3 linked regions of the Arabidopsis thaliana genome follow. The protein of the gene in region 1 interacts with the protein of each later gene in a pairwise test. Each region holds a gene or a part of one and is shown in the gene's direction. Other genes may lie near its edges.

Region 1 (4,744 bases):
AAGTCATACCAAAAGATTCGTCCTGAGCATGAATCGAAAGGAAAAGAAATCCAAGCAAATACTTTTCAAAAATGTGACAGTGCTTGTTTCAGATGTGACCCTAAGGCACATCGGTATCAGGTATGCCGAACTCCAGCACACCTTTGTGCTCTGTACAAAAAATCTGTTAAGGGAAAAGGAAAGGAAGTGAACCTTGCGGAACATTCTGAGGGTACAACCCACCTTGATGCTTCTGACTTTGCTAATGATCTCGATGAGGTTGTCCTTGTGGAAAACTGAAATTTCTATCGTGTGGGGCTCGAATTAATATGTCATAAATAAATCGACGCTTGCTTGAAATTTCCTAAGTTTGTGTGTTTGTATTACCTATCATGTGTAATTATTGTGTGCTTGTGTTACCTATCATGTATAATTATCGGGTGTTATATGCTTGATTAATAAATTTATTTTCTACTTACCTTAATCGATTATGTTTATTTCAGAAATGGATCACATTACAAATGGAATGGTATCCAAGGCAAACCTTAGAGATATTTGCATACCGAATAGTGGAACAACACACACTATTCTAAAACAAAAAAAAAAATTCTCTCATTTGAAATCAACAAAAGTTATTGTTAACACAATATCAGGTCCCATAGACTTAATTGAATGGACCGGTAAAACAAATTTTGCATTACTTAACGGGACAAAGTTCTCGATAAATAATGCATTATTTTTACCAAATTCAAAAAGAAATTTGTTGAGTTTCAAAGATATATACCTTCATGGATATGACACTCAGTGTGCAAGTGAGAATGAAAAAAAGTACATGTATATCACTTCTGAAAAATTGGGAAAAAGACACGTTTTGGAAAAATTACCAAGACTCCCATCAGGATTGCATCATACATACATTAATTCAATAGGATCACATCTTGTTATCAAAAGAGATCATGATGATTTCACATTGTGGCACGATCGCCTTGGTCACCCAGGCACCACGATGATGCAAAAAATTATAAAAAGCTCACATGGACATTCAATGAAACCCTAAGAGTTTTATCAAGAAAATAAAAGGACATGTGTTACGTTTTCTCTTGGAAAATTGATTATAAGGCCATCGACAAGCAAAATCGATAAAGAATTACCAAAATTCCTTGAACGAGTCAAATGCGACATTTGTGAACCTATACACCCACCATGTATACCATTATATTATTTCATGGTAATGATAGACATGTCTAGTAGATGGTCACATGTTTGTTTGTTATCATCTTGAAATGTGGTATTTGCGAGATTTCTAACTCAGATAATCAAAACTAAGAGCTGAGTTTCCTGATTATCCAATCAAAGGAGTTAGATTAGATAACGTTGGTGAATTTACGTCTCAAGCATTCAATGATTATTACATGGTAACAAGAAAAAATGTCGAACATCCTGCACCCCATGTCCATAGTCATTCGAGGGAGAGCTTGTATGATTATACTTTTTTACCTTACTGTGGTTTCTACCAATGGATTTTATTAGAAAAGTTTTAACGAGACAACATGAAAGATATCGCAAAGAGATAAATGACAAATGAACTCTGGACGAGAAGAATGTTGCAAAAATTAAAGAAATATTTACATATTAAGTCCATTTGCATTTTATCTATATACACTCATATAGATAAAAAAAAAACAACGTAAAGTTTCTTTTATTATTATTTTTCTTTCGTGATTGTTCTTTTTCTCATATTTCTTCTTTTTAATATATTTATTATTATTCTTTTTAAAATATTAAAAAAATTGAATTGATAAATAACTTATAATACAAAATTCTATTAAATTATATTAATAAAATTAACCGCTCTGTGTTTTATTTTTTCAGAGGTTTACTTAATCTTCAATAAGCGTAAATGTTTTGGTTGGTAATGTTATTATGTTTATAAAAAAACAACTAACCAAGTTTTTACGTTAGAAAATATCAAAAACACTTTTGGAAGGAAAACTTGGGTACACGATTGAAACGACGTCGTTTATGAAAGCAAAACAAAACCCAGAAAGTTTAGGTCTCGCCGGAAAAATCGAATCAAGCATCTTCTTCTTTCACGTACGAAACAAAAAGCTCAGAGCAGAGTCGAATCGGTACGAATCTTTATCTAAATCACTCTGATTTAGTTTCGGTTATTGTGAACCATTTGATTGCTCTGTCCTTTCAATTATCTATCTAGGTTCGATTACTTCGTTAGCTGCTTAATTCTGTGATCAATTATCTCATTTAGTGATTTTGATTTTAGGGTTTTCTCTTTCTTCCTTTAATCTTATATTGGGATCTTCTGTATCGGATAAAGTCATAACCTTTGAGATAAAGGAATCATCTTTATTGCTGAAAATGATTGAGCTTTAGGTCTAATACAAGTCTGAGAGTCTGATTTCGATTCTGAGTATAAAAATTGAAACTTTCTATTTAGGGTTTTCTTAATCATTTGTGTTGCTATGGTTGCTTAATGTATCACTAAATCTTGGTCTTATTAGTTGGTTGCTACTGATATAGAATTGCATCTGTGAGTAAATTTAGCTCAAAGATAAAAGAGTCCCCTTTATCGCTGAAATGATCGAGCTTTGAGCTCTAATACAAGTTAAAGCGTTCGAATAATCGATTCTGATCATAAAAATTGAATCTTGCTATATAGTAGTTGCTTAATCATTTGTGTTGCCATGGTTGCTCAATGTAGCACTTAATCTTAGTTGATTCTTAGTTAGAATTGCATCGGTGAGTAAACTTGGCTCAAAGATAAAAGAGTCCCCTTTATCGATGAAATTGTCGAGCTTTGAGCTCTAATACAAGTTAAAGCGTTCGAATATCGATTCTGATCATAAAAATTGAATCTTGCTGTATAGTAGGTTCTTAATGATTTGTGTTACCATGGTTGCTCAATGTAGCACTTAATCTTATTAGTTGATTCTTAGTTGGAATTGCATCGGTGTGTCGTTGGGATTGTCTTTGAAGGATTAATATGTGTTTTCTCTTTGCTTATGAAGCGATGAAGCATCGAGTTCGGTGTTCATGAAGGTCAGAGAGTTAAGTATTAGCAGAACTGGTTAGGTCTTAGTGACAAACAAGGTATTCATGTTATCCATCCCTGATACTAGAATGTGGAATCTAGCATCGAGTTATCTTACGGGAAACATTGGACCGAAAAACGATATCAGAAGACCGGTCCATGCTCATGCGGAGTGTTCAGATGACGATGTATCTTCTGTAGGTAGTAAAGACGAAGGTCTCGAGTGTCCTATATGCTGGGAATCATTTAATATAGTTGAAAACGTTCCGTATGTGTTATGGTGTGGACATACGATGTGTAAAAACTGCATTTTGGGACTTCAATGGGCTATTGTGAAATTGCCTACTCACCCGGTTCAGCTTCCTCTCTTCATTTCATGCCCCTGGTGCAACCTTTTGTCTTTCCGTCTGGTCTTCAGAGGAACACTCAGATTCCCTCACAAGAACTACTTTGTGCTTTGGATGGTCGAGAGGATGAATGGAGAGAGACGTAACTCACCTGGTGGAGCTCAAACAGATGGAAACAATGATCATACAAGGGAAACTCCATCTCCATGTCTCCACAATCGCCATCATCGCAGTCAACCTGAACCATCACGTTCTGTTAATGATCATCGCATTCCAAGGGACAACATACAAACTTCACTGAGGAAGTCTCTGGTTTTCTTTGTCCAGTTGACAGCAAAGTTCCCATTAGTTGTCATATTTCTGCTGATAATACTCTATGCAATACCGACCAGTGCAGCCATATTGGCGATGTACATTCTAGTCACTCTCTTGCTGGCTCTACCGTCGTTTCTCATCCTCTACTTCGCTTATCCTTGTCTCGACTGGCTTGTTCGAGAGATTGTCACATGAACTTTCTAAGGATGCGTTCAGAAACTTCCCATTCCTAATTTGACGACTTTTCTTCAACAACTGAGACCCAAGATCGGTCATGTAAGTATAACAATTTCGTAATTACCGTCTTCTTTATCTATATATGGATGTAGTTTTGGATTGCATTGTTGCTCTACGAAGCTGGACGTATGTGTTGTAAGGGCTCTTGCAGAAACTTATTAGTATTTGTGGATTTGTTTGTGAGTGTTTGAGTGTCTCAATAAGATTTATGTATATAAAGTTTATGCAATGTTATTTAGGAATTGCGTAACTAAATGCATTGATTTTTCTTATATATAATGACTAAATTGTATGGGTTTTTTTTTCTTTTGTTTGTTTGTTCCACCCATTTCCATAGAAGAAAGCAAAAGATGACACCCAAAATTAGGGGTGGGTGTACGGCTTTTCGGTTTGGTTTCGGTTCGGTTATTTCTCTTTTATGTTTTCTATGAGTTCTAGTCTAGATCATTTGAGCTTAAAGCGTTAATTGTGTTCTACGATATGAAACAAAGACTCAAAGAGCATTCAAATATGATGTATACACAAAAAGAAAGAGTTAAGCTGTCTTAGTTTATGTGTCCCTCTTCCACCGCAGCAAAATCAAGCCCGGAAATCTTCATCGGTCCAATGTTAACTGGCAAAAACCCCGGTGTGTTGATTCAACAAAACAAGACAACATAAATGTAATGAGAATGGCACAAGAATAAAGTGTTGGTTTTACTTACTAACAGCATCAAGTCCAGCTAATTTGGGCATAAACTGTCTGATATGGTCCTCTGCTGCTTCATCTGCCTTCAATGTCTCACACTCGAACGAAACCGATACTTTCTTCTTCCCG
Region 2 (5,608 bases), on another chromosome or scaffold:
TTCCATGATTTTGCTCAGAATATTCAAATTTATAAAAGAAATGGACATTACTTTGGAAGAGTTGAAAAACTTATAAAACAAAAAACATAACAATAGAAAACTTTAATCGATTAAATGAATTATTGAATGATTGTATCCACTAATTACAATTATTGAAATAAATATGTATAAAGTAGAGGGTGTAAAGCACTGTATGAAAAGATTATGATAACATAGTTCAAAGAATATCATTATGAGTCATAACTAATAATCATTCACCAATACACAATCGATCATCTTAATATATACATGATTAATTTGGATTCATTTTAAAGCACACTTAAAAATATATCATGTCCAATAATTTGTGAATTATTATTTCATCAGAATTGTCATAGTTATCTAACCATTTGTGTTTAGGGCAGAACTGTGTCTGAGGCTAAATTCATTAAAAAATGTCACTAAATTCTGCAGTTTTTGTTTTTTTCCATCTATGACGTTATATAATAGCTAGCCAGTAATTATTAAAACCGTATAGAATATATTCTTGAGTCTAACTTTAATCTACATGACAAATTTTTAATTACTCAGCACCGATTGGTTTCTGTAGATGCATGTCACAAGCAACACAAAATAAAAAAAGGTATTACAAAAAAATAGTACTAACCTACAAAATTACTTATTTATAATTCTTTTGATCTTTCTCCTTTTAGCTTTTCCTTTTCTCTTATTAGTGTTTATATGATACTTTCGTAAAACGTTAGGTATTGTATAGTAAATAAAACCTTAAAAATGCCAACGAATATCCTTATCTTCTAGTGTTCTACATGTGTTGATATCACCACCGACAAGTATCTCGGGTAACCTAATTGTTGGTTGGAACTTTCAGAATTTTTAAAACTGAAAAATTGACATTATCCTTCTAATGAATCACATTCTTCTTTTTTTTGTCAAATACTTCCCTTTGTCAAAGGCATGCACCACTAAATTATCTTTTGTTTTACAAAATGACCAAAATTAGCGGCAATATTTTACGTCAACACTTGACCAATTTTGATTGTTAGAGAGCACTTTGTCAATAAACCAAAGTATAATGTTTCCCTCCTTACTCTCCTAATGTATAATATATATTTTGATTATAGAACTCATAGTTAATATTGAGTTGCATCCCTTTGTTTTAACAGTAAGGCTTTGACTTACGTTTGTGATTATACCAATTACCAAGTATGATCAACACTCAAGATTTTTTTTTGACAAGAATATAATAATGAAAATGCTTATGCTTTGAGTAAATTAATCAGGAAAACTTTTAACTCATGTTAATATAGTATTTTTAACAAATATGAATGGACTACAAAGAGAATTTGACTAAATGTATAAAATATATAATTTGGAAAAAACATGGAACATGACATGGGGAGCACGTAGGAGAAGCGGTGATAGCAAAATAGAGTGATTCACTTGAAACCGATTTGGTAGTATCTTTTCTTATAAACATGTTCCAATGTAACTAGTACATAGTTGGTCACAAATACAAATTTGAATTTGTCTTCACCTCAAATTGCCAAACAACCCATATGGTCCCCATCCATCAATGGATTTTCCTCAATTTTCTTTCTTTTGAATATATAACAAATTTGTTTTTTTTAAGAAAATACAAATATTTGTAATGAAGATCCATGACATGACAAGTGCTTGTGAAAGATTACAAAGAGTGATAATAAAAAGGGGATGAATTTTGCATGCTGAAGCAATCAAATAAGTAGCTGAAAGAGTAACACACACATGAAAGTGCAAGTGACACATCTTTTACAACTTCTCTCACTGATGATACCTTTCTTCCTCTTCCTCTGCCTTTGCTTCTCTCTCTGAGTCACTACACTCTCTCACCAACCCATCCTTCTCTCTGTCATTCTCTAAAAAAAGAGGTCCACTATAAATGAGCCTTGAGCTGTGGATGCTTCTTTGTCTGGTTTTTTAGAATATAATAAAAAACAAAATGGGTCTCTAGATTTCAGATTTCTGGGATCTGGGTGTTAGATTAATCTCTTTCTCTTCCATTATTAGTAGAGAAAGCTCACTCCTTTCACTCAAAGTTTCTACCTTTTTGTTTTCCTGAAAATGGGTTGTGTTTGAAATCTCACACTTTGAGATTTGGGTGTTTATTTTGGGATCCTTCTTACCACATTTAGAAATTTCAGCTAGGGTTTTCGATTTCTCTACTTCTCAGAGGAGATTTTAGAGGCAAAAGATGGCTCCAAGGTTGGATTTTTCAGATTGGTGGGCGAAAGACACGAGGAAAGGAACACCAGTTGTGGTGAAAATGGAGAATCCTAATTACTCTGTAGTTGAAATCGACGGTCCAGATTCGGCTTTTAGACCAGTGGAGAAGAGCAGAGGCAAGAACGCTAAGCAAGTCACTTGGGTTTTGCTTCTCAAAGCTCATAGAGCTGTTGGATGTCTCACTTGGCTCGCCACTGTCTTTTGGTCTCTCCTTGGTGCCATCAAGAAACGGCTTAGTTTCACTCACCCACTTGGCTCTGAGAAATTAGGCAGAGACAGATGGCTTTTCACTGCCATTAAGCTCTTCTTAGCTGTTTCCTTAGTGATTCTCGGCTTTGAGATTGTTGCTTATTTTAGAGGATGGCATTACTTTCAAAGCCCTAGTCTTCACATCCCCACTAGCACACTTGAGATCCAGAGCCTGTTTCATCTTGTGTATGTTGGTTGGTTAACCCTTAGAGCTGATTATATTGCTCCTCCCATCAAAGCTCTCTCCAAGTTTTGTATTGTGCTGTTCCTTATACAGTCAGTAGATCGTTTGGTACTTTGCTTGGGTTGTTTTTGGATCAAGTATAAGAAAATTAAGCCGAGATTTGATGAGGAACCTTTCCGTAATGATGATGCTGAGGGATCTGGATCTGAGTATCCAATGGTTCTTGTTCAGATTCCAATGTGCAATGAGAGAGAGGTATGCTCATTCAACTTTGGTATATCCAAGAAAGTATTCATCTTTCTCCTGCTTTATATAACCTTTTTGGTATCAGTGTAATGAGCTTTAGTCTTCTTCTTGTTCAGGTGTATGAACAATCTATATCTGCCGTGTGTCAACTTGACTGGCCGAAAGATCGAATACTGGTTCAGGTTCTCGATGATTCGAATGATGAAAGCATCCAACAGTTAATTAAAGCTGAGGTTGCCAAATGGAGCCAAAAGGGAGTCAACATAATCTACAGGCATCGCTTGGTTAGAACTGGATATAAAGCTGGTAACCTCAAATCAGCAATGAGCTGTGATTACGTTGAAGCATACGAGTATGTCGCAATCTTTGATGCCGATTTCCAGCCTACTCCGGATTTCCTTAAACTAACAGTTCCACATTTCAAGGTTGGTATTAACATTGGTTTCAATTTTCTATCATTGAAAAGTGGAGAGAGAGATTGCTAACATGTTAAAAATGTGATTTAATCTTCAGGATAACCCAGAGTTAGGTCTAGTTCAAGCTAGATGGACATTTGTGAACAAAGACGAGAACTTGTTGACCCGTCTTCAGAACATCAATCTGTGTTTTCACTTTGAGGTGGAGCAGCAAGTGAACGGCGTGTTCTTGAACTTCTTTGGTTTCAATGGAACAGCTGGAGTATGGAGAATCAAAGCCCTTGAGGAATCTGGTGGTTGGCTTGAAAGGACTACTGTGGAGGATATGGACATAGCAGTCCGCGCTCATCTTCATGGATGGAAGTTCATATATCTTAATGACGTCAAGGTACTACTTTTTATCGATTGTTTCTAAAAAAAGCCTTATTTATGTAACAAAATGAATTAAACTGGATAGAAACAAATCTATAGGTCCTTTGCGAAGTTCCTGAGTCCTACGAGGCATATAAGAAGCAGCAACACCGTTGGCATTCGGGACCTATGCAGCTTTTCCGCTTGTGTCTTGGTTCAATCTTGACCTCTAAGGTAGTGTGCAGCTTTTTTCTTCTTTTAGTTCAAATGTTTGCTAATCATCATGTTAATGACTTCTTCTGGTTCTCATTGGTTACTCTTGCAGATAGCGATATGGAAGAAGGCGAATCTGATACTTCTCTTCTTTCTTCTTAGGAAACTCATACTTCCTTTCTACTCCTTCACTTTGTTCTGCATAATCCTTCCACTCACCATGTTTGTTCCAGAAGCTGAGCTCCCTGTTTGGGTCATCTGCTACATACCAGTTTTCATGTCTTTCCTCAACCTTCTTCCATCTCCAAAATCGTTTCCTTTCATCGTTCCTTATCTCTTATTCGAGAACACAATGTCTGTCACCAAGTTCAATGCGATGGTGTCCGGATTATTCCAATTGGGTAGCTCTTACGAGTGGATTGTCACAAAGAAAGCTGGAAGATCATCAGAGTCAGATCTTTTATCTATCACCGAGAAAGAGACACCAACCAAGAAAAGTCAATTGCTTAGGGGAGTTTCCGACAGCGAACTTTTGGAGCTGAGCCAACTTGAAGAACAGAAACAAGCGGTTTCAAAGAAACCTGTCAAGAAAACCAACAAGATATACCACAAAGAGCTCGCATTGGCCTTTCTTTTGCTCACTGCAGCGCTTAGGAGTCTCTTGGCAGCACAAGGAGTGCATTTCTACTTCCTGTTATTCCAAGGTGTTACCTTTCTTCTTGTGGGTCTCGATCTCATAGGCGAGCAGATGAGCTGAGAAGAACAAAAGAAGATTCATAACTCGGGTCAATAAATCAGTGAGTTTGAATTTCCACTTCCTCTATGTTCAGTGGTATCCTCTGTAATGAGATTGTTGGAACCATAGTGGTAGGCATTAATTGATTTTCCGTTTCGTTTGTTTGTTTGTTATGTTGGTTTGATTCCTCCATTGTTAGGGATAGAGTGTGAGCCAGAGATTCATACATGTATACAATATCTGTAAAGTTGGAACATGTTGTTGGCAGTTAAAAGAGCTTCTGTCTTGAACTAATTTCAAGGATCATGTCAAATCACTGCAGAGAATTTATGTAATTTAAAGTCCAACCTTTGTGGAAAGAGATTGTAACTGTAAATAACTAACAAGAACCAGTTTTCTGACTAAACTGAAACAAGAGAAAGACCAATATTTATTGTATTCTCTGAGGATCTTAGGACATTCTCAACTTAGTGTCGGTGAAAAGTGAAGAAACGTGGAGCAAAAAAAGTGTCGGCAGAGGAAGTGGAATGAGGAGAAGCATAATTGCAGAAAAAAAGCAGAGGTCAGAGAGGTTTACGTCACATAACAATCAATTCAATGATGTGTAAGTGAAGAATGGGACCAAACAGATTTTAATTTGGTGGGTTTGTTGATGATTCTGGGACCGAACTAGGATCATGATCTTGTCTCTCTTGCTTTTCTAGGCTTTTAATTGTTGTCATGCCAAAACAACGTCTCCATGTCTACTTCGCAAGTATACTTTTATTTTTTCACTTAATTTGGGATTTATAGTTGCTGAAACGAAACCATAGCTAGTTGTTACGTGAATAAGAGCAAATCAGATTATGTATTCAATCTTCCTCTTAGGCAATTACTTTGCTTCACCTTCATAAAAGTGAACAATTTCACAACTATGCTTAAGTGAAATGAACACAAGTACCAAATGGTAGC
Region 3 (3,619 bases), on another chromosome or scaffold:
GAGTGAAGTTCAAAGATGGGTGTGATGAATTTGGAGAGCAAATACACATGGACATTAAATTTCCTTTCCATAGAGAAAGAGGAGGAAGAGTTTGAAGCCAAGCAAACGCATCAGGTGTGTCACAAGAAGCCATTAGAGCTAATATTGAATATCTAGTTGTTGTTCTAGATATGTGTGGTATAGAGAGTATATGATTAGAAGACTAGATTTATCATTTATATATAGAGAGAACATTTTAATGAGTGGAAGAAAAGTAAAGGAAGAAAGATTCGCTTATTTTTTTCAAAAGGTAAGCTAAACAAAATCATGAACTATTTTACGTAAACCAGAAAATATAGAGCTACGCACGAACACGAGACGTCTCTTTAGTAAAATATTGAAAATTTGAAATGTGATAATGATTAAGAGTCCTGCAAATTATGAGATAACGTACAAGGAAAAAGGTTTAGATGATAATTAGAGTAGCTAGACCGTTAAGAGGGATGTAATTAAATTGATAAAGTACGTGCTATTCAAGATTCTTCCATATGTGGATTTCAACCCGAATTTCCAAGAAATATTCTTGATTAGGCCGACGAATATTGTTATTCGATGCCTCTATTCTACTCAATAATGTTTCTTCGTCTTTATTTAGTTTACTAATTATATGTTTGATACATAAATAAATACGAATTATGGAGTGTGTTTGTATATACATAAATACGAATACGAATTATGGAGTGTGTTCAAATAATTATACATAAATAAATAAATACGAATTATGAATTATATACAAATATAAATTATATACACTTGAAGCCTGACGATTACAATAGCAGCTGATCATTATCTTCGGGGTGAATTCAAATTATGGATTGTGTTTGATTTCCTCAAGTCTTAATTTTCATCTACTTTTCAAACGACTAATTAATAGTGGCTACATAACTAACGACTCGATGATAAACACTCCAAAAAGCAATCAATCACTTGAGCAAAAGTTCAAAAGAAAACACTCCAAAAAGCAAACGCAAACACCAAACAAAACAAAACTCAAGTAGAGTTTTAGATAAAGCAACAGTAGAATTTTAGAAAAACCAAATTAAAACACCAAGTGTTTATGCCAAATAAATTGGCTAGACGAAGCAAAACAAGAACACATTATTGATAGTGTAGATTTGGAGTTCACTAATTGATAGTGCAACGTTTGAGTTCAACATTGCCTAGGCTGAGTGAGAATATCTTATTGTTTCCATCCACGAATTTGAGAAAGTAACTACATGTTACCTTTACCTTCTTGTTATTCTCGTCAACCTCATTTATCTCGGTCATCTCAACATGAACAAGTTCCGCAAACCTCCATTTGTTTTCATTATCTCATTTTGATTGTCCCAATCATGTCAAACTCATCTTTTATCGCTTGCACCCCCTTCTTCATGTAGTCTCCACCACCGGTTGCATAGGCGTCTTTAAAAATGCTCTCGAGTTCCCTCCAGTTGTCTTTGCCCCAAGTTCCTGGTGTCTCAAGACACCATAATTCATATATAACTCATAATTCATATTTATTTATGTATATAATTTGTATTTGTATATAATTCATAATTTGTTTAGCTTCAAGTGTACATAATTTGTATATAATTTAATTTCACAGTTTATAGATATATTTAGTAAACCTTTATCATTCATGATCAATTGATCATATGATTGTTTCATTTGTTCAACGAGAACACTCATAGGGTGGGAAATGAGATGATAATTATTGAAATGATCATATAAACAATTGTAGGAAGTCGTAATTTATCTGCAAATAAAATTAGAATATTATTAACTACACTAATTTACTAGTTTGTGTTGTGTTATCCTTGTAACATCATATAGATACAAACCACTGAACCAGTAAGATTGTTTGTTTGTTGAAAAAAAAAAAATGGTTTTATGAACCAATAGTGGAATATATTGGGCCTCTTCCAACATTATAGACCCATCTAAAAATTGCTATTAACTCCAACTTAATATATTGGGCCTATTCCAAAACATTATAGGCCCATAAAATTTAGGCCTTTAGAATATCTAACACGGTTTTGCCGCAACTTCAGTTTCCACTAAAATCGGAACAACAAATTCACACTCTCTCCGCCGCGCACAGACTCACCGACACCACCAATAATGTCTTCTTCTCCGGCGATTCTTCCCGTCACCAACCAGCAAGCAGCCACTCAATCTCAACCTCCAATCAATTCTCACGCCTTCCGTACTTTCCTCTCACGCCTCTCGTCCTCTCTCCGCGAAAGCCTCTCTCAACGCCGTCCATGGCTAGAACTCGTAGATCGGAGCTCCTTCGCTAGACCTGACTCTCTCACCGATTCCTTCTCCCGGATCCGTAAGAATCTCGCTTACTTCAAAGTCAATTACTCCGCAATTGTCTCGTTAGTCCTTGCTTTCTCCCTCCTCTCGCATCCATTCTCGCTTCTCGTCCTCCTCTCTCTCTTAGGCTCCTGGATGTTTCTCTACCTCTTCCGATCTTCAGATCAGCCTTTGGTTCTCTTTGGTCGTAGTTTCTCAGATCGTGAGACTTTGCTTGGTCTTGTTTTGACTACGATTGTGGTTGTGTTTATGACGAGTGTTGGATCTTTGTTAACATCGGCGTTAACGATTGGAATCGCGATTGTTTGCTTACATGGTGCGTTTAGGGTTCCTGATGATTTGTTCTTGGATGAACAAGAGCCTGCTAATGCTGGTTTACTCTCGTTCATTGGTAATTCTGCTGCTACTTCTGCTGCTGCTTCTGTTGTTGCAGGACGAGTTTGAGAAGCTCGAATTTGATGATTCTGATCCTAGAGAACAAACGAAACCTGGATTCTCAGGGTTTTTAGTTATGTTTTGAGTATAGATTCGATGAAGATCTGTAAGTGTTAGATCTAAAGATGCATTGTTGTGTTGTATTCTTCAATTTCGTCACAATTTAGAAAATTTGGAGCTGATCCTTCTCAAGTATTGTAAGATCTCATTTACCTTAAATCAATTTGATACTCTTTGCCTTCATCACCATATGTTTGAGTTAGATTTAGACTAAACCAGTGAAGATTATAGTTTGACCAAAGTATTAAGGATTAAACAAACAACATGTAGTTTAACAACATACGTGGTAGATGTAAATCTTGTAACTAGTTATGTCTATGTCTCTCTAGCTACCAACTATTTTATTCTTCCACAAGTTTCCTCTATCTCGAAAGCGAACAGCCAATACTGTGTACGAATTTGCTGATAGTAAGAGGGTTATATCATGGGAAAGTTTCCCACTGGATTTACATGTTTGGCCAATTTGACAAAAACGACACACGTTTAGTTTGGGGATTTTGTCTTAAAAACTCGGCTGCCAAAAACAAACTGAAGATTCGGTCACCTGAATTGTCTTTTTCGGTCAAAGTCTCACTGAGTTGCTTCTTTCTTAGATATAATATAGGTGACCTGTTTTTAATCTTCATAACATGAGATATATTTTCGTGGAATGAGTTGTGTCTTGTGAAATCTTTTTTCTTTGGTTTTAATGTTAAGAATGTCTTGTGAAATCTTTTCCTGGATTCTAATTATTGGTGAGAATGTGAGATAAAAACAACACTTAGGTACTAAGTTACTAACCATT

The links. Proteins that work in one complex are often made in the same cells at the same time.
Region 2: the proteins of AT3G29270 (region 1) and CSLC5 interact in a two-hybrid assay, tested with the Arabidopsis thaliana proteins (one large-scale study listed by BioGRID).
Region 3: the proteins of AT3G29270 (region 1) and PRA1.B2 interact in a two-hybrid assay, tested with the Arabidopsis thaliana proteins (one large-scale study listed by BioGRID).

What each region holds. Positions count from the first base shown.
Region 1 is NC_003074.8:11,232,233-11,236,976, forward strand, and holds AT3G29270 (RING/U-box superfamily protein), read left to right. Parts: upstream 1-1,940; 5' UTR 1,941-2,108; exon of another isoform or gene 2,109-3,005; 5' UTR 3,006-3,093; coding exon 3,094-3,885; 3' UTR 3,886-4,226; downstream 4,227-4,744. Other genes in the region: AT3G29280 (uncharacterized protein), read right to left, coding at 4,473-4,540, 4,632-4,744.
Region 2 is NC_003075.7:15,308,959-15,314,566, reverse strand, and holds CSLC5 (Cellulose-synthase-like C5), read left to right. Parts: upstream 1-1,579; 5' UTR 1,580-2,230; coding exon 2,231-2,950; intron 2,951-3,057; coding exon 3,058-3,366; intron 3,367-3,454; coding exon 3,455-3,745; intron 3,746-3,828; coding exon 3,829-3,942; intron 3,943-4,033; coding exon 4,034-4,678; 3' UTR 4,679-5,061; downstream 5,062-5,608.
Region 3 is NC_003071.7:16,863,899-16,867,517, reverse strand, and holds PRA1.B2 (prenylated RAB acceptor 1.B2), read left to right. Parts: upstream 1-1,930; 5' UTR 1,931-2,142; coding exon 2,143-2,784; 3' UTR 2,785-3,072; downstream 3,073-3,619. Other genes in the region: AT2G40390 (neuronal PAS domain protein), read right to left, coding at 1-133. UniProt on the Arabidopsis thaliana protein: May be involved in both secretory and endocytic intracellular trafficking in the endosomal/prevacuolar compartments.